5 linked regions of the Callithrix jacchus genome follow. The main gene of each other region encodes a partner of the protein of the gene in region 3 in a complex. Links are inferred from orthologs where the notes say so. Each region holds a gene or a part of one and is shown on either strand. Other genes may lie near its edges.

Region 1 (3,938 bases), on a different chromosome or scaffold from region 3:
ATATAATCTGCATTATGTATCACTACATCCGTAAATATATATTTTGGCCAAACACCAAAAAGAGCCTTTTGCAACTGTGGAAATTATCCTAACAAATGTGCTGCCAAGTCATGTCATTATACATTTGTCCAAACTCATAGAATATACAACATCAAGAGTAAACCCTAACATAAACTACAAACTTTGAATGATAATGATGTGCCAGTGTAGGTTAATGGTTGTAACAAATGTACCTCTCCGGAGGAGAATGTCATTCAGAGTAGGAGGCTGTTGGAGGGGGAAGGAAGTACAATTACTGACAGTAGGAAGCTGTTGGAGGGGGGAAACCTCTGTACCTTCTACTCAATTTTGCTGTGAACCTAAAACTTCTCTAAAAGTTGTCTATTAAAAAAAATTATCTTAACCTTGGCTTAATTTTTAAGTTTTTGAGGGTAGGTTATTATAATAGCTAACGTTTAATGAGCACTTATCTTTAATCCTAGTGAAACAGATGTTACTATCCTTGTTTTATAGTTGAGGACATTGAGGCTAAGAAAATGTAATTAAGGCACACACAGAATTTAAACATGCTTCTTATCTCAAGACTGAGTTGTTTTCCAGTTACTCTATGTATTTTCATTTTTTTCCTAATATCTGACTTCGAAATATCTTACGTTATTTTTAATTCCAAACCTTAGAGTCAATTATTAGGGCACCTTAGAGTTCATTATTTGGACATAACTATCCAGAAACCAGAAACGAGGGGGCGTGGACCCCACAGACTACAAGCCCTAAAATGAAATGAAGCGCCAGAAAGCCTAAAGGGCGGCAGCTCGCCCCTTGGCATGCTGGGGATGTAGTTTTCTCGCTCTCCCTTCTTCCCCGCCCTCGAGCACCCAGATTGGAGCTTCGTTCCTACTCCCTTGCAGGGCGCCACGGCTCGAAAGAGCCACTAGTCCTCGCCTGGTCATCCCAGTTCCGGAGGCTGACCTGGGGATGCGCCCTTGACGCCCTGAACCGCAGGACCTGCGTCGCTGCCAGGCAGGCCGGCGCTACGAACCTCACTCGCAGCTCCAGGACGCCGCACTCTACGCGCTGCTGCAGGAGTACGCGCAGCCTGGTCACCGTGGAAACGGAGCCGCTCCGTCACGGCGCATGCGAGAGGTCAAAAGTCATCCTAGTGAGTTCCGCTTCCGGTTCCGGGATCTTGTTTGTTGTCAGAAAAGATTCGTGGTTTCGGTGAGCTCTCAGAGTAGATTTCTAGCGTCCGTGCGTGGGGCCAGGTGTCCCGAGGTCCGCTGCTGCAGACATGGCGGCCTCTACTGCGGCCGGGAAACAGCGGATTCCCAAAGTGGCCAAGGTAGGGGATCGCGACGGGCCTTGTGGCAGGTGGCCTAGGAGAGGGGCTTGCCTTAGCCCTGGGGATGCCCCGGGCGGAAGAGAGTGTTCCTACCGGGGAGAAGGCTCACCCTGAGAGATGGAGACGAAGGATCCGCTGGTGGTGGGGCGTGGGCTCTTGTCATAGCGGAGCGCGACCTGCGTTGGCGTGGCCTTCGTTCTGGGGTGTTTGTGCAGTTGGGAGGAGTGGGGTGGATCAGTGAAGACTTATTGCGCCAAGCACTGCACTGGGCGCTGGGGAGCTACGCTCGGACGCGAAGCACAACAATACCCAAAACACGAGCTTGTGTATAAAGACGACCTTGCTAGATGTTGCTGATGCAAAGTAGAATATGCCATGGGCGTGAATAAGTGGGGCGTATGAGGGGGTCCTGAAAGTAAGTTTTGCAGAGGAAATGACCTTTAAGCTGAGACTTGAAGGCGGAATAGGAGTTAGCCCAGCTGACAGCGGAAGGCGAGAGTAGACGGAGTTGTATGGTATCATAAGTTCATTAAAGGGTAGGTTCACTATCTGGTGTTTCCCTCGATAGCTGATACTTACCAAGTGCTTAACATGGGGCAGGCTTTCTCTCAAGCCTTCACAGATACCCTCCCTCAAGTCTTTCTTGAGCCCAGATGACTCTGTTGAACTGGACCTTTACATAACCATTTATCTGACTCGCAGAGGTAATGCATATAGAGCAAGTAACACTGTGTCTGGCACTTAGTGCTTATTAAATATGAGCTATCACCATTATCATCATTACTTCACACGTGGCATTAAGTCTTTTATAATTCAATTACATAAACTTTTATTGGGCATCACTGCTCCAATGGAAATATAATGCACGCCACATATCTCATATCTACATTAAAAAGTAAAAAACAAAAAAGGTGATATTAGTTTTAATCATAGATATTTTATTTGGCCTAATGTATCCAAAATATTATTTCAATATTAATCAGTATAAAAAAATGTAATGAGGTAGTTTATTCTTTTTTTCATACTCCATCTTCAAAACCAGAGTGTATTTTACATCTACAGTCCACCCCATTTTGTACTAACCACATGTGACTCACAGCTACTGTGCTGGGCAGCACAGCTCTAAGCTACATTAGACTGTAAGCTTCTAAGACCTCAGGAAGCTTACAGTCTAATGATGGGAAGTTATTGAATTTTGCCTTGGACTTGAAGTGCCATGAAAAACCAAACTCAATTACCCACCAGGGGCATTAGCTAAGTTGAAGAATTCTGTAAATGCAGGTTGTAATGCTGTTAATAAGATGTGGTACACATCTTGATAAAACAAAACCTCTGGTCAGAATTTTACCTAGACTGCCTCAAAGTTTATTATTATACTCATCTAAAAGAGAAAGCTCGCTATTGTTTTTGCGACCTTTTTCAGTTGAGACTTTTGCCTATGGCTTTGTAGTAGACACCATGAATAACAAGGAAAACATAGTATTTTTTTCTTTTCTGTCTCATGGAGGAATGGGAACATGTCATACAAAGAGGGTATCTTGTGATAATACTAATGAAGTTCACATCCTAAAACAATGTATCCTAAAGGATGTAACATAAAACTGGTTTCTTAAACCCGTGTGAAGAGCATCTGCTAAAAATAGAAATGTTTTCTTTCTTAAAAGGTGAAAAACAAAGCCCCAGCTGAGGTACAGATAACTGCTGAACAGCTCTTAAGAGAGGCTAAAGAAAGAGAACTTGAGCTTCTTCCACCTCCACCTCAACAAAAGATCACAGATGAAGAAGAATTAAATGATTATAAACTAAGGAAAAGGAAGGTCAGTCGGTGTGATATCTTTCAGTCCACTAATTGTTAAGAAAGTATTGGTAGGCTGGGCATGGTGTTGCACGCCTGTAGTCCCAGCTACTTGGGAGGCTTAGGCAGGAGAATCATTTGAACCCGGGAGGTGGTGGTTGCAGTGAGCTGAGAACACGCCACTGCACTCCAGCCTGGTAACAGACCAAGACTCCGTCTCCAAAAAAAAGAATTTCTGTAGGGCAAGATGAGGCTAGTGTTTATAGCACATGAATAATGTACTTCTGGTTACCAGATAACAGCATTTTTCTGAACTATACAAAATATGCTATGAATTGTCTGGTTAAAGTACAAAGAAATTGAATCTGCATAATTTTTGGTGCTGAATCAAACATGGGTGGAAGTTTAGCAGGTGGAACAACTGGAACCAGCAGAGGGTATGCTTAGTAAAACTGCACTGTTGTGTACTTCTGCCTATACCACCTTCTGTGTTAAGAATTGAGATCTGGCTAGGCATGGTGGCTCACACCTGTAATCCCAGGACTTTGTGAGGCCAAAGTCCTGGCCTCAGCGGACAACCTGAGGTCAGGAGTTGGAGACCAGCCTAGTCAACATGGTAGAACCCCATCTCTACCAAAATTACAAAAAAATTTAGCCAGTTATGATGGCAGATGCCTGTAATCCCAGCTACTCAGGAGGCTGAGATATGAGAATCACTGAAACCTGCGAGGCAGAGGCTGCAGTGAGATTAAATCACACCACTGCACTCCAGCCTGCGCGACAGAGAGAGACTTCATCACAAAA
Region 2 (4,053 bases), on a different chromosome or scaffold from region 3:
TTTAAACCTCTTGGATTTGTTCCCTAGTCTTTAAGCAACTAAGGACCCAGCTGGTTGGCCTGAGGTATGTAAACTCTGGTCATAAAATAGAGCTTTTCTGTGGCCCTGAAGAGTTAGTTCATATCCAATTAAGCTTTTTCAGCACAATGTATTTCTGTAATGGGATTTATGCCTTAAAAATCAGATGAAAAATACTATAATCATAATACCTTCAATAACTGAGGAAATACTAAATATATAACAATGAGAAAATAAAAATGTTATTCAGTCAATACTTACTAAACATCTATGATATGCCAAGTACTACAATAAATAAATTTAACTACTCCTATATCCAGGGATAATATTAATACTTGTTGAGATTTTATCATATGCCAAGCAATGTCATAAGTGCTTCCCTTGAATTAATACCTCACAACTGTATAATGAAAGTGAAGCACTAGGACATTATATAACTTAGCCATGCTCATACTCTCGTTTGAGGAGCAAGGATTCAAATAAGGCATTGCATACTTCAGCTTTTTTTGAGCAGAGGGCTTATATCAGATAGAAGGCTGGAAAAAACTGAGTCAATTCGCAGAAAGGAGTGACAATAGCTAATGCTTACTGTATTCTGACCAGGAGGGACTATGCTAAACCCTTTATATGGATCATCTCATTTCATCAGCATACTACCTCAAGAAGGTCCCTTTAGCATATAGATTTTATGGAAGAGGAAAAACAGGTTTAACCTGGTTAAATAACTTGTCCAAGGTCATGAAGCTAGTAAGCAGTTGGACTGGAAAACTTACTCCAAGCCCAACTTTTTGTTTTATTTTTTTGAGACAGTGTCTCACTCTGTCCCCCAGGCTAAAGTGTAGTGGCCCATAAACAACTCACTGCAACCTATGCCTCCTGGGCTCAACTGATTCTCCCACCTCAACCTCCCAAGTAGCTGGGACTACAGGCATGCTCAGCTTGATTTTTGTATTTTTCGTAGAGGCAGCGTTTCACCATGTTGGCCAGTCTGGTCTTGAACTGGGCTCAAGCAATCTGTCCACCTTGGTCTTCCAAAGTGCTGGGATCAAATTCAACTTTTTTTTTTTTTTTTTGAGACAGTCTCACTCTTGCCCAGACTGGAGTGCAGTGGTGTGATCTCAGGTCACCACAACCTCCACTTCCTGGTTTCAAGTGATCCTTGTGCCTCAATCTTCCCAGTAGCACAGGCTTGTGCAACCACACTTGGCTAATTTTGTATTTAGTAGAGTCAGGGTTTCACCATGTTGCTCAGGCTGGGCTTGAACTCCTGACCTCAGGTGATCCCCCTATCTCGACCTCCCAAAGTGCTGGGATTATAGGTGTGAGCCATGTGCCTGGCCTCAAACCCATCTTTTTTTTTTTTTTTTTTTTTTGAGAGCCTCGCTTTATAACATAAAAATAGATAAGGCATTGCATACTTCAGCCTTTTTGGACTCTAAGCTGGAGTCCTGTGGCATGATCTTGGCTCACTGCAATCCTCCACCTCCCAGGTTCAAGTGATTCCCATGCCTCAGCCACCTGAGTAGCTGGGACTACAGGTCCCAACCACCACGCCCAGCTAATTTTTGTACTTTTAGTAGAGCTGGGGTTTCTGTCATGTTGGCCAGGTTGGTCTTGAACTGTCGACATCAAGTGATCTGCCTGCCTCAGTCTCCCAAAGTGGTGGGATTACAGGCGAGAGCCACCGTGTCCTAACTTCAAACCCAACTTTTAATCTACCACACCACAGGACATTAAATTGTTAAGCATGGGAATGATGTGATGGGAACAGTGCTTCAAGTAAAGTATACCTTTAAAAAGGCTAGAGGAAAATAAGTGGAATATAGGCTAGATTACATTGAATGAGGTATGAATGAGGGAAACTTGGGCCCAAAATGATAGAAATATGAATGGAGAAAATGAGTCACTGCTTAACTTGCACATTACCTTGCACTTTGTAAGTTCACAAATTTAATAAGATAAACTTCAGTAAAGTCTTCTGCCGGGTATTCATCTAGAGCATTATACTGTTCAATTGGACCATATAAAGCGAATCGCTCAACTAATTCTTTCATGGCTCCCACAGCAGGAACTCCTTGTATTAGTAAGTACTGAGATTCCAAATTGATTGTATATACCTGAAAGAAATGCAGAGTCGTTAAATGTATCTCGCAAATAAACCTAGGACGAATCTGCCTCTATTTTTTTTTAAACAGCGCTTTCAAAACAAGAAATAATCTGTTCAACCCAAACACAAAATAAAATGTCTCTCATTCCCTCTGCATAAAGAGTAACAGCCCATGTGAGAGGGTACCTAACAAAGGCATATAACAGACTACCTTCAGTCGACATTTTTTTCCAGAAATTGAGTCGGTAGAATTCACCGGGAACAATCACTCAACGAGTATTCACTGAGCGCTTACCTTGTGCCAAGTAGTACTGTAAATACAGAAGATCCAATGACTAAAACCAAGCCTTACTCTCGTGGAGGTGCTGTTCTAATAGTTGACCAAAAGGATCGTGAGAATCTTTGATAACTGACCCAAGCAAGGTTCTTCACGCTAGCTCTAAAGAGAGAGGGATCTGACAGCAGCCTTGTCCTGCCCTTATTTCTGTAGACTGGCTATATGGCGCTAGCACTCATATAAAGCTACCGAAGAGAGCGAATGAAACCAAAATCACTTTACCTTGACAGCACGAGGCCGTCGTCCCTCCCGATATTTGGCCCGCGTGTCGCATACCGCCCGCTGGACGTGGTGGTCAAATACATTCCCTAACTCCCCACCGCTCGACGCCATCTTGCCTGCTTTGATCCTCGCAGGGAGGACAACATCCGCCCTGCTGAGCTCCCTTTTCCCCAATAAGAGAGCGAGATGAGTCAAGGAGTCCCACGATTGGCTGGAGAATCGACAGCGTCGGCCATCGTTTCCTGCGTGAGAGGATTTGATGAACGAGTTGCCGCCCCCGCGAGCGGCACCGCGGAGAGGCGCGGTGAGTGGCAGAAGCTCGCTTGTTCCACCTAATACAGGCTTGCGACGAGAGGCGCAGCGGTCAGAGGGGGCGGGGCCGATCTATCTCCTCCGGCTCCGACGCCCTTGGCCTGCCAGGTCCCGGGTCCGCTGCGGCGCTGGGGTGGGGCGAACCCGGAGCGACGCGTAAGGACGATGTGGGGCAGCGATCTCCTGGCGGATGCTGGGCGAGGCGGGACGGCAGTGACTGTGGTCTTCACCAACGCTCGCGACTGCTTCCTCCACCTGCCGCGGCGTCTCGTGGCCCAGCTGCACCTGCTGCAGGTAACGTGCCGGCTCCGGCCACCTGCTGTTCAGCCTGGGGTCGGACTAGGCCGAAACCTCTCTGGGAGGCGGCGGGATGCCTGCTGCCTTTCGGGCGCCGCCGAAGCGCGCAGAGGTCAGACGAAGGGTCCCTCGAGGACAGGGCCCCTCTGAGTAGTCTTTGCGTCCCACAAGTCCTGGGCAGCCCTGGGCTTGTCTTATCCCAGGTCTTTTCACTTGGTGAAACTGAGCCTAGAAACATTCTAACATTCTACCATTGTTTTTAGAAATATTCCTTATTCCAGGTTGGAATATCTCCTGAGAAGTCGTTTGTTTTTGTTATTTTAAAAGGTGTTTTTCTTGCCAGTCATTTCCAGTTACCTGCGCTGCTGCCGTCCCGGCCGCGAGAGGGAGGCGGAGAATTGTTGGCTGAGCCCGGGTAGATTCCCGGGGACTGACCACCGCGTCCCATAAGCGGGAAAGATTAATACAATGATGGTTTTGCGCGGCGTCGCTGACCCTCGGAACACAGCTGTGGTGTGTTAGGAACACGTAACGTAGTTAGGATCACTTGAAGCTCTGAGATCAGTCGCCTTTCTGGACGTTGTGGTAGGGAAGTTTCACAGTTGTAACCACTGGTGGAGATACAGCGTCCCTACTTTCATAATTAAAAATAGAGGCACATGGTCTCAAGAATTTGAGTGTGCTTATGGGGGCAAAAGGATAGCGTATTTGAAGTTCTCATTGTAAGGTTAGCCAAGAGGAAAGGAGAGTAGACCCAAAG
Region 3 (3,500 bases):
TTCACAGCATTAAATACTTCTCCAGTAAATTACAATTCAAGAGAAATAAGCCCATAAAATTATTATGAAAGTAGGCCAGAGTGTCAGCTTTAGGAGGAAACTAATGCAAATGTGAAAATTATAACATTAATTAATAACAGCTATCATTGTCTGTGATAATACACAACAATGTATTGTATATATCCTTCTATAGAAAGGTAACATTTAGTCTTCCATCAAATAAGTAACTTGCTACAGGTCACTCAGCTAGTAATGTCAAAGACAAATTACAAATCAAAACCTGTCCAAAATTAGCGCTTACCATATATAGCAATGATGTACAAATGCAAGTGATTAATTTATCAGGCACCAATACTATGATTCACCTTACTACAAGGATATCAACCTGACATTAAGAAACAATGTAAGTATAGCACTTTACAGGAAAGTATACCACTTAATTGAATATTAAACTGGGTGGCAAAGACAGTAAGTGGTACAGAAGTTAAATAAAGGTCACTACTAACCTATGAATATTTCTTAAGATGGGTGAGACTTAAGGGTTTAGAGGGGAAGAAGAGAGGAACAATGGGGTAAATAATTCAGAATGAAGTAAAAAACCATGGGCAAGTACCAGGAAAAATAAAATGCCCAAGGAAACAGCTAAGAGAATAACTTTACAAGAGCAGAGATTTCATTAGGTGGGGATCACTGATCTCTAAATATTTCCTATCATTATTATGTAACTACTTAAATTGCTTTTACTTATCCAAAAGAAATTATTTTATAAAATTCTACATACCTTTCTTAATAGCTTTGTACTTCTCTTCATTCTCCATAAAATTAGGATCCATCTTGAAAACATCTTAAAAAAAAATTAAAAGTTAATGTTTATTTTCTGTTTACATTTCTTGGTGCTCCACTTTCTACCTACCATGCCCCAGACTTACTAAGAACATCTTCCGGATTATAGTCATCCTCCAAAGGGAGCATATGGGTGAATTGATCATCTTCTTCCACCAAATCAAGACCTTCTAGGATAATGGGGTGGTCCTTGAATCCATCTTTCCGTACAGCAAACATCACTTCAATCATATATTGAACTCTTTTGTCAATTTCAGACTCATGCAGAATATTTCGAAGGCGTTCAAATATAGCTAAAGGTAAACAAAGAAAAGACAATAAAATAAGCAGTAAATATTATAATACTCAAACAAAAACTTAACATCAAACTAAGAATGTACTCTTACCATTGATTCCTCTTGGTGACACTTGTGTTAATTTGAGGCCACATTCCTTGAGAAAACCAATAGCTACTTCAACACTATCATCTGTTGGTATTTCCAAGAGCAAAGTGAGCATCTCTAAGCACAAAACTTCGTGTGCCTTAAATAGAATACGTATATATGAAAGAAAAAAAATGCTTTTACATACATTAAAATATTGTTTATAATTTCTAAAAATTAGTAAATCTTGTTTAAAATAATTATATTGCACATATGACAGGCAAAGTTGTATACAGCAAATAGAAATACTACAAACATGGATAGAATTTTTCTATTACTTTTATTATCAATCTATTAAAAATTTTCAGACTGTTCCAATAATCTTAATTTTTTTATGCTGAACACAACTATCTGAATTATCTTCAGAAGAAATATTCTGACCCATTCTGTATGGAAAGTGTCATAGATGAAATATGTTAAAATCATATACTACTTTCTAATAAGAATTATTTTCATAATTACTATATAATAGTAATATGATTTATAATACCCTTCTACATGAGTACACTTCTTTGTATACATTTCCCAATTCATTCTATCAGCAACTCTATTAGACACAAAGAGTCCTTCATTTACATGAATACTAATTTTGTCACAAAATATCTTAATAACTTCCAGAACACAACAGTTTGGAATATTCTATCTTTTAAAAAAAAATAATAAATCAAACTATTTCCACCGGCCACATTAAAAAACTGACATTTATAAACAATGGCAGGAAGAGTGGGAATAAAATTCTACTGAGAAACTTTGGTATGAGAAGAAAAAGAACTACAAAGGATGTTTACAACACCATACATATGCCTTTCTAAAGTCAGATGGTGATTTGAAATGGGGAGGAAAGAAGTCTAAATCTCAACTCAGGAGTCTATCTTCTTCCAATTGTGCACATCAAAGACATCCATTGCTTCTTTTTATAAGGGGAGGAGGGGTGTCAAACAGTCTTACATCAGTGACAAGAAAAAAACTGCCCTGTACCAGAGTTGGGAAGATGCAAAAAATTTGTCATATTGAGTGTTTTATGACAAAACCAAAAATCTCTAGTCCAAGCGTAATACACAATTAAAAATGAAAATATATCTCTGTGGTTATAGATGTGAAATTAAGTTTCCATGGTCTTAAGTAGCAAGTTATCATTGTAATAATACAATGACTAATTAGGTTAGAATTGAGAAGATTTTCAAGAGTGAAAGAATTTTCACATAAATAAGAACCACAACATTTAATGTTAGTGAAATAAGATTAAGTGTGACTTAAAAATTCTTCCTGTTATAAGTGTGACTATAAAATTCTTCCTGTTATACATGATATTAAATTGCAAATGATAATATATAACTGAAGGAAACTTCTGAGTGCAAGAACAATTTTACCACTTTAAAGGTTAAACAGAAACTAAATCAAAACCATCAAATAATGTGTGAATATAAAATAAACACAAATAGAATAATAGCATGATAAAATTGTCTGCATTTGAAACAGATTAAAATTGATCAACTATATTCTATAAAGTGATTCTAAAAATATATGACTATTCCTATGTGGTTGCAAAGAATAGAGGCTTTTGTAGAATGTTAGATATTTATTAGGTTCTCATGAATACCAGGTATAGGGAATGAAGTGGAGGAGACACCAACTTTATTATTTTATAAAAATGGAATAGTTTTTCAAAGGAATGGTTTGTAGTCAAGTAACCATGTACAGTATTAAGTCAGATTAATTTGATAAAATAGCTAAAAGTGCTTTGATTAACAACAAAGTGTTATGTTAAAGAACATGAAATACATTATACTTTTAAAATGAAAATATCATCCAACATACTTATCCCAAAAACTATAAAGTAAAACAAAAATAGAGTTATCAGTGGAGTGGCATCAACCCTGTGGTCTAATGCCACTGAATGGGACAAAGTTTTGAGGATAATTACCTACCACATTTTGGTTAATAAGATGTGCCACAAATTTTGAAGCAGTCAGACAAAGTTGCTGAAAAATGAAGGTAAAGAGAAAGTTAATCCATAAATTAAACCTGATATTCATTTGTTTATAGAATCTATGGCCTAAACATAATCTATTTAAAACATGTAATACAAAAGTATAATTTTTATATTATAAGAAAATTATAAGATAAAATAACACATGAAAGACTATCACTTTTGGTTAGTTATAATTCTACAGTTTAGCCATCATTTTTGTGGCTCATGATTAGTGGTCAGGTATATTTAACAGAACAGAAGAA
Region 4 (4,119 bases), on a different chromosome or scaffold from region 3:
TTTTCCATTGTCCAAAATGTTTCAACCCCTACAAATAAGTCATAAAGTCAATTTCCTATGGGCAATGTATTTGTTTCAAAACACCTGGACCTTATAATAGGTGAAGGGGAGAAAGGCAGCAAATCACACTGCCACGTGTGTACCTATGCAACAATCTTGCATGTTCTTCACATGTACCCCAAAACCTAAAATGCAATTTAAAAAATTGCTCTCACTTAATTCACCCAATGCTTTTCAAAGGCAGATACTTTACTGATAAGGAAACACGACAAACAGGTAAGGAGGTCCAAGTTCTCAAGAGCTACAGCCCTCTCTCTGGTACAACGAAATAAAGGGATGGAGAAGGAAACGGATGGCAAGAAGGGACAAAGGGAAAGTTTCCTATAGATTCTATCTTAAGCTGATTGAGGGAGGGCAATCATCAGGAATCCATCCTCACAACAAACCCTTCATCCATTTTTCTGAGCCACCCTCGGAATCGCAGCTGCCAACAGGAGATGCTCCTACAATAAGCAGGAACCAAACTCAAATGTTTGCTGAACGAATGAAGGAACCAGAGTATGTAAAGTGGGAAACTAACTCTCCTGGGAAACCCACACCGTGTTAGGCCCTGGCGTGCCCCCAGGACACCTACAAGGGTGCCACGGGTATGACCTGGCCCACCTCGCTAGGCACCGCAGCAGAGAGACGGCGCTTCCGAGCGGCCCCCAGAGGAGCCCTCGCGGGCATCGCCGCACCTTCACTGGCAGCCCCACCCCAACCTGGGTCGCTCGGGATTCTGCCCGAGCCTAGGCCGGCGCGAGCGTCGACAGCCAGGAACCAGCAGAGAGGCAGGATCAAAGAGCACGGGAGTTGGAGACAAGGGAAAACTGGGGGACAGAGGCAGAAACTCGGATCCGAAAGGGGGGGTCTGTCCATCAGAGCACGCCGGAAGAGTGGCGCTCGAGCTGAGGGCGAGAGCGGGCGGGCCGGGACGCCAAGGCTCACGGCTGCTACGGCAGTTCGCGGGGGTGGCTTGCACCCCGGGGGGCGAGATCGCCGGGGGCGTACATTGGGGCTTACCTAACTCTCCCACCCGCGGAAGGGAAGCGGGGAACTACTGCCTCCTACCATCAGGTACGACGTGCTACCCAGGCCCACCCGCAAGCGCAGGGTTAAGGGGCGGAGATCCAGGGCCGCATAGCCAGTAGCAGAAAGAGAGGGGCGGGCAGATGGGGCAGCCCCGCCTAGACGCTCCCGTTCATTCCTCCCGCGGCCTTCCAAGTTTGGGCTAGACCGGAGCGGCGTGCTTAGAAGCCGGAAGTGGGTTGACGTAGCCCGGAAGGGGAAGCCGTCCGGGTTTTAGTTTTGATGTTTTCGGGCTGCTGTTGCTGCTGCTGCTGCTGCTGTTGCGGCTAGGGGAACCGTCGTGGGGAAGGATGGTCTGCGAAAAATGTGAGTTAAGGGGCTCCTCCTGCGGGAGGAAGAAACTGGGGGAACCTAAATGAACTCTCCCGGGAACTCTGCCTTCTCTTTTGTTTTTTCTTCGCCCACATCTTTGATTCTAGTCGCTGTCCTTCTGCTCTACCCTTTGACCATTTTTGCACCTCCCCAAAGACCATATAGTCCTATAGTATATTTTGTTTTCAGAATGGTCTTAGTTCTGCATCTCCTTGTCTATTTCCATTGCCTTCCCCCAGCTCCAGATCTCATCAGCTCCCCTCCCGTATAAAAATGTTCAGTTAAACCCCAATCACACCTTTCCCTCTTGCAATTCCTGACCTTTCCTTTTTATTCATGTAACACACTAGAACCAAAGACCAAGGACCTCGTCTTACTCATTCCTGTTAGTCATTATGCCAGAATATGGCTTAGAGTAAGCCCAGAAGATGTGTGAATTGAACATCAACGCAAGTGCAAGTTACTATTTCCCTAATTTAACACCTTTAATAAATTCTCAGTGTGCAGAGAACAATGTGGGGATTCTGTATTTGGAGCCTGACGTTCAGGACCCTCCGCAATAAGGCCCCAACTTATTTTTCCAGCTTCATCTTCACTGATCCTTACCCTCTTCACACTTTGACCAAACGTAACTACCCTTTGTGCCCATGTGTACTCGGAGCTTTCCATGCCTTTCCTCAGAATGTGTCCTTTATCAGTCTGCCTTTATCCTCTTTACTCCTTTTTGTTCACAGTCCTATTGCCACATATTCAAATCCTCTCTCTTGCCTTCTCCCCAAACTTTCTTGGATTTCCTTAGCCAGGGTTATATCTTCCTGCATGGAATTTCACCTAGTACTTTAGCTCTCAATTATTACACCGTTTAATTTTTAGCTTATATTTTGGTTGAATGATTCTCAGGTTCTCTCTGAGAATCTGAAGAAAGCTATAGACTCTTGCCAGGAAAGAAAAAAAAAAGATATATAAAAGGTTTGTGTACAATTCTGCCTTGTTCACATATCTCTTAAGATCGACCTGTGGAACATAGATTAAAGATTGCTGTTAAACTACTGTACTATAATCTCTTTAAAATTTTGTCTGATTCATCACTTATTTTTTTCAGTAATTTGTATAGTTTATACATCATAGATGCTTAGTAAATATGTATGGAACAAATAGACTTGCCAGATTTGTTTAAAGTATAAACAAACAGAGAAAGCTTATTATAAGCCATCTTATTATCCTACGGATTTTACTGTGGATCAGTCATTCATTGCCCACAGTTAATACAAGTCTCAGTTCACTGACTGCTCTCCCAGCATTAACAGGCTCCTGCAGTAATAGGACTGTTGATACCATTGTGAACCTTAGGCACAATGTGATGCACTTATGAAATACTAAATTTTAAATTGCTTTTTACTATCTTATTATAACAGGTGAAAAGAAACTTGGTACTGTTATCACTCCAGATACATGGAAAGATGGTGCTAGGAATACCACAGGTATTTCTTCTTTTAGAAAATAGGAATTTAACCAGAGACTCCTGTGAATATTTTATCTTTTACGTTATTTGTAAAATGAAATGTGTTCAAAGTATTTTGTCTATTAAACATGAAAGAATCCTGGGTCCCCAAGTTATTTAATATCTTCTACTTAGTTCTGTTACTTGTACAGGTTCCTAACATCAGGAGATAGCAAAATTATTAAATGATTGTCAAGTGGTGACAGTATCATAATATTTGATTTGATTCAGCTTATTTAGAGACTGCATTTAATTTCTCCGCTCTTCTGAGGAGAAATTTTTTTAAATCTGGTTTTTATATTCTTGAATAAATCCTTTAACCCATTTTACCTTCATTATCATTAATTACTTACAGTGAAGTATTTACCTTCATTATCATTAAATACATAAAGTATGTTTTCGAAGGGAAAGAAAAGAAACATAGACATTCAAGGTCTATGACACTGAAGTAGTGGGTTCTAGATTTTACAGTATATCAAGTAAATATAGACCCATTCCTAAGGTACTACCTTGAGTCTGAAAAATAAAATGATTGTATTTTATACAAATTTTTATTGTTTCTCTAATAAATGTTTTCTTTTTAAGCAGCGTCTTAATAACCTGACTGTTAAATGAAGATTTAAAAATTAGATATAGGCTACTAGTTTGGCAGAAAGTCAGAGAATGAACTTCTTAATGTTATATGTTAAATGTATAGAAGTAACCCTTTAAAATAACTTCTATTTTGATACAGAAAGTGGTGGAAGAAAGCTGAATGAAAATAAAGCTTTGACTTCAAAAAAAGCAAGGTGGGTAAGAGGATCCATAGAGAAGTCATATAATTTTCACTCTTTTAATGTTAAGCCTACTGGAGTGAATTTGATGTGCATCATTCCAATTGCAATAAAACATAGAGTTAGGTGGTTCCTGGCACTCAGAACCAAGCTATTTGTTATAACCTGCTGGTTTTACCTTATTCCTCCTTACTGTATGTCCCCCTCTGACTTCATATTGTACCATACTCCTCCTCATTCATCATATGCCATCCTCATTGGTTCTGCCAAGCCTCCCCCATCCAAAGAGATTTGTCCTTGCTGCTGTGTCCTCGAGGTCTTTACTGAGAGCTTACGTATCTGGCTCCTTGGTGTTTGGGTCTCAGCTGAAGGGTCTTTTCTCGGAGAGGTTTCCCTAATCAGCCT
Region 5 (2,917 bases), on a different chromosome or scaffold from region 3:
ACATTTCAAGTGGTCAACAGCCACATGAGGCTAGTGTCTGTCTATCACACTGGATAGCAGAGCACAGATCACTTTTATCATCCATAGAAGGGGGGTTAACTATTGCTGCTTCCAAGACAGCAAGGAACATTTTCCATACGTGAAGTCTGTGGTACTAGCTACCAATCGCCCAAACCCAACCCCTCTCCCTCACACCTTGGCTCTGATATATTTTGTAGTACAGGCTCCTAAGAGAAAGAATGCATGAAAGTACCTGGTAAACATTACGTGATACAGAAATGTGATATAATAAACAGGCTCAGAGTTCTTGCTTTCATCATAGCTTTGGCTACTTCGAGCAAATTCTAGCTCTTTTCTCAAACTACTCCCATCTCTATAATTTATGCCAAAGTGTTCTAGGGCTAAAAATCCCGATTATACCTACCTTGAAGCTTTTAATCCAGGACCCTACTTCACCACCCGCCTTCTGTCACTTTCTCTAAAAGGACACGAATTAAGACTTCCAAAAGAACAAAATATTTATTTTTTAAATTTAAGAATTATGGGAAGCCTAAGTAATGGGAATTGGATCCTCATCGGGGTCTTCTGGGAAGTTGGAAGCACCACCCTCTCCTGTAGCACGATGCTTCTCTAGTTTAGCAATCAATTCTTTCGCTGGATTGAAGACGCCGTAGGTCTGCTGGTCACAGACAAAGCAGCGCGGGGTGGTACGGAAATGCTGCAGTGCACATCTCTCGCAGAAATAATGCCTGCACTTGGTGACAACTGGGTTTTGGAAGCTCTGGCGACAGATGAAACATTTGAATGGTATTTCCTCATCATCGCTTCCCACTTCATAGTTTTCATCCTCATAGACACCATAGCGACCCTCATCAAGCTCACGTTCGATCTGCCACCCATGCTTGTAATCTGAACGGTCATGGAGGAATTTGCAGCTGTCTCCGAAGCCGCAGAAGCCAGTCTCTTTGTAGTCCTTACAGATGTCGGGCTGGTAATCCCAGCGCACGGTGGCACGTAGATGCTCGGGCGCTCGGATGGGGCCCTTCCTCACCATCCCGGAAGAGGCATTGCCCATAGACGTATCCTTGGGCTTCATGTATTTCTGATAATTGTTGATTCCCCGATAGATCTTGTCATCCTCCTTGCCCCTCAGCTCCTCCTGGATCTTCTGGCTGCGCTCAAAGATGGCTTGTGCATCGCGCTCTTTCTCTGTGTCCAGCTCATAGACGGCTGTTGCCCCCATATCCTCTGGTCCCACGGGTTTCGCCGAGCGGGTGGATTTATAAACCACGCCGAGACTCTCGGGCTCATTTTCCACCTCCTCCTCGCTGCTCAAGTTGCCGTAAGCCGCCTTCTGTCTACCACTGTCACGGGTCTTCTGTATCATTGGATTGTGGGTCGTCCGCTTCTTTTCCGGTCGAATCACAGTGCAGCCTTCGTCGCTACTGCTGCTGCTTTCTCCAGGCTCTGGGTCGCAGGCCGGGCGCTTTCTGCGTCCAGCAGCCCCTTTCCGCCCAGGCTTTTTGAAAAGGAAGGTGCACACCTGATCCGCCGTTTTTCCTGGAGAAAGCTGCTCGGCCATTTTAGAGTCCCGAGCTCCGAAACGGCCGTGGCTGCCTGGGTAGCACTTGGCCTCCGCGCGTCACTCCACGTTGCGCGCTCCGCCGCTAGTCAAAGCAAAAGACTGTGGCGGAAGAAGACTGCGAGAACGCGAACGCTAGCCTCTCTTGAGCCCTGGAGGATTCCGTCGCTTCCTCCGGAGCCGTACGTGGCACCGCCCCGCTCGCTGGCGGCCGCGGGGCTTACTGGGAAGAGAGCCGGAGATCCGTCACCTTTCAAGGACTCAGAAGTAGGGTTTTGGTCTAGGTAACCGGGCAGAGATGTGGTTCGAGATACTCCCCGGACTCGCCGCCATGGGCGTGTGCTTGCTTATTCCAGGACTGTCTACTGCGTACATCCACAAGTTCACTAACGGCGGCAAGGTAAGGGGGCTTGAGGGCGCGGGGGCCGACTCCACGGGCTGATTTCCGAAAAGGGTGGGGGGCAGGGAGGCATCAGCTTGCGGACCCTCTCTCCGAGGTCGGCCTTCTCCTTTCTTAGGGTTGCCTAGAAGCTGAGGCTTGCGAAACGAAGGTTGGTAGAAAACACATCCTGCTCTAGTGAAAACCAGCGTTTTAGGGTGGATCAGAGTGGGCCTTAGGGCAGAGTAGCGACTCGGGGCCCGGAAAGGTAGATTAGAAGAGGTGGCTTAAGTCTGTAATCCAGCACTTTGCGAGGCCGAGGCGGGCGGATTACCTGAAGTCGGGAGATCAAGACCAGCCTGACCAACATGGTGAAACCCCGTCTCTACTAAAAATACAAAATCAGCCGGGTGTGGTGGCGCATGCCTGTAATCCTAGTTATTTGGGAGGCTGAGGCAGGAGAATTGCTTGAACCCGGGAGGTGGAGGTGGAGGTGAGCCGAGATCGCACCATTGCACTCCAGCCTGGGCAACAGTCACGAAACTCGTTTCGAAAAAAAAAAACCAGAGGTTCTCCTGCCTCAGCCTCCCGAGTAGCTGGGACTACAGGCGGGTGCCACCACGCCCGGCTAATTTTTATTTTTGTTTGTATTTTTAGTAGAGACGGGGTTTCATCATGTTGGCGAGGCTGGTCTCGAACTCCTGACCTCAGGTGATCCACCCATCATGACCTCCCAAAGTGCTGGGATTACAGATGTGAGCTCCTGGCCACCCATAACTTTTTTATTCTCCACTTTTTGTTGCAAGCCTTTAATAATTTACTGCAAGATCTTATTTTATTTTTATTATTTTATCTTTTTGTAGAGATGGGGTTTCTCCATGTTGGTCAGGCTGGTCTTGAACTCCTGACATCAGGGGATCTGCCTGCCTTGGCCTCCCAAAGTGCTGGGATTACAG

The links. The genes of interacting proteins can lie anywhere in the genome.
Region 1: CWC22 (region 3) and CRNKL1 share a complex: the UniProt entries of both Homo sapiens proteins name them as parts of the minor spliceosome. The link is inferred for Callithrix jacchus from reciprocal best matches to the Homo sapiens genes CWC22 and CRNKL1.
Region 2: CWC22 (region 3) and RBM48 share a complex: the UniProt entries of both Homo sapiens proteins name them as parts of the minor spliceosome. The link is inferred for Callithrix jacchus from reciprocal best matches to the Homo sapiens genes CWC22 and RBM48.
Region 4: CWC22 (region 3) and CRIPT share a complex: the UniProt entries of both Homo sapiens proteins name them as parts of the minor spliceosome. The link is inferred for Callithrix jacchus from reciprocal best matches to the Homo sapiens genes CWC22 and CRIPT.
Region 5: CWC22 (region 3) and RNF113A share a complex: the UniProt entries of both Homo sapiens proteins name them as parts of the minor spliceosome. The link is inferred for Callithrix jacchus from reciprocal best matches to the Homo sapiens genes CWC22 and RNF113A.

What each region holds. Positions count from the first base shown.
Region 1 is NC_133506.1:27,036,766-27,040,703, reverse strand, and holds the start of CRNKL1 (crooked neck-like protein 1), read left to right. Parts: upstream 1-1,138; 5' UTR 1,139-1,288; coding exon 1,289-1,339; intron 1,340-3,003; coding exon 3,004-3,156; intron 3,157-3,938. UniProt on the Homo sapiens protein: Involved in pre-mRNA splicing process. As a component of the minor spliceosome, involved in the splicing of U12-type introns in pre-mRNAs.
Region 2 is NC_133512.1:57,090,155-57,094,207, forward strand, and holds the start of RBM48 (RNA-binding protein 48), read right to left. Parts: upstream 2,801-4,053; 5' UTR 2,796-2,800; coding exon 2,685-2,795; intron 2,136-2,684; coding exon 1,945-2,135; intron 1-1,944. Other genes in the region: peroxisomal ATPase PEX1, read left to right, coding at 3,162-3,290. UniProt on the Homo sapiens protein: As a component of the minor spliceosome, involved in the splicing of U12-type introns in pre-mRNAs.
Region 3 is NC_133507.1:49,044,351-49,047,850, reverse strand, and holds part of CWC22 (pre-mRNA-splicing factor CWC22 homolog), read right to left. Parts: intron 3,248-3,500; coding exon 3,194-3,247; intron 1,366-3,193; coding exon 1,230-1,365; intron 1,137-1,229; coding exon 930-1,136; intron 845-929; coding exon 782-844; intron 1-781. UniProt on the Homo sapiens protein: Required for pre-mRNA splicing as component of the spliceosome. As a component of the minor spliceosome, involved in the splicing of U12-type introns in pre-mRNAs. Promotes exon-junction complex (EJC) assembly.
Region 4 is NC_133515.1:68,132,468-68,136,586, reverse strand, and holds the start of CRIPT (cysteine-rich PDZ-binding protein), read left to right. Parts: upstream 1-1,319; 5' UTR 1,320-1,418; coding exon 1,419-1,434; intron 1,435-2,855; coding exon 2,856-2,921; intron 2,922-3,674; coding exon 3,675-3,729; intron 3,730-4,119. Other genes in the region: PIGF (GPI ethanolamine phosphate transferase, stabilizing subunit), read right to left, coding at 664-918. UniProt on the Homo sapiens protein: As a component of the minor spliceosome, involved in the splicing of U12-type introns in pre-mRNAs. Involved in the cytoskeletal anchoring of DLG4 in excitatory synapses.
Region 5 is NC_133524.1:115,851,741-115,854,657, forward strand, and holds RNF113A (E3 ubiquitin-protein ligase RNF113A), read right to left. Parts: upstream 1,684-2,917; 5' UTR 1,583-1,683; coding exon 551-1,582; 3' UTR 501-550; downstream 1-500. Other genes in the region: NDUFA1 (NADH dehydrogenase [ubiquinone] 1 alpha subcomplex subunit 1), read left to right, coding at 1,881-1,982. UniProt on the Homo sapiens protein: Required for pre-mRNA splicing as component of the spliceosome. As a component of the minor spliceosome, involved in the splicing of U12-type introns in pre-mRNAs. E3 ubiquitin-protein ligase that catalyzes the transfer of ubiquitin onto target proteins.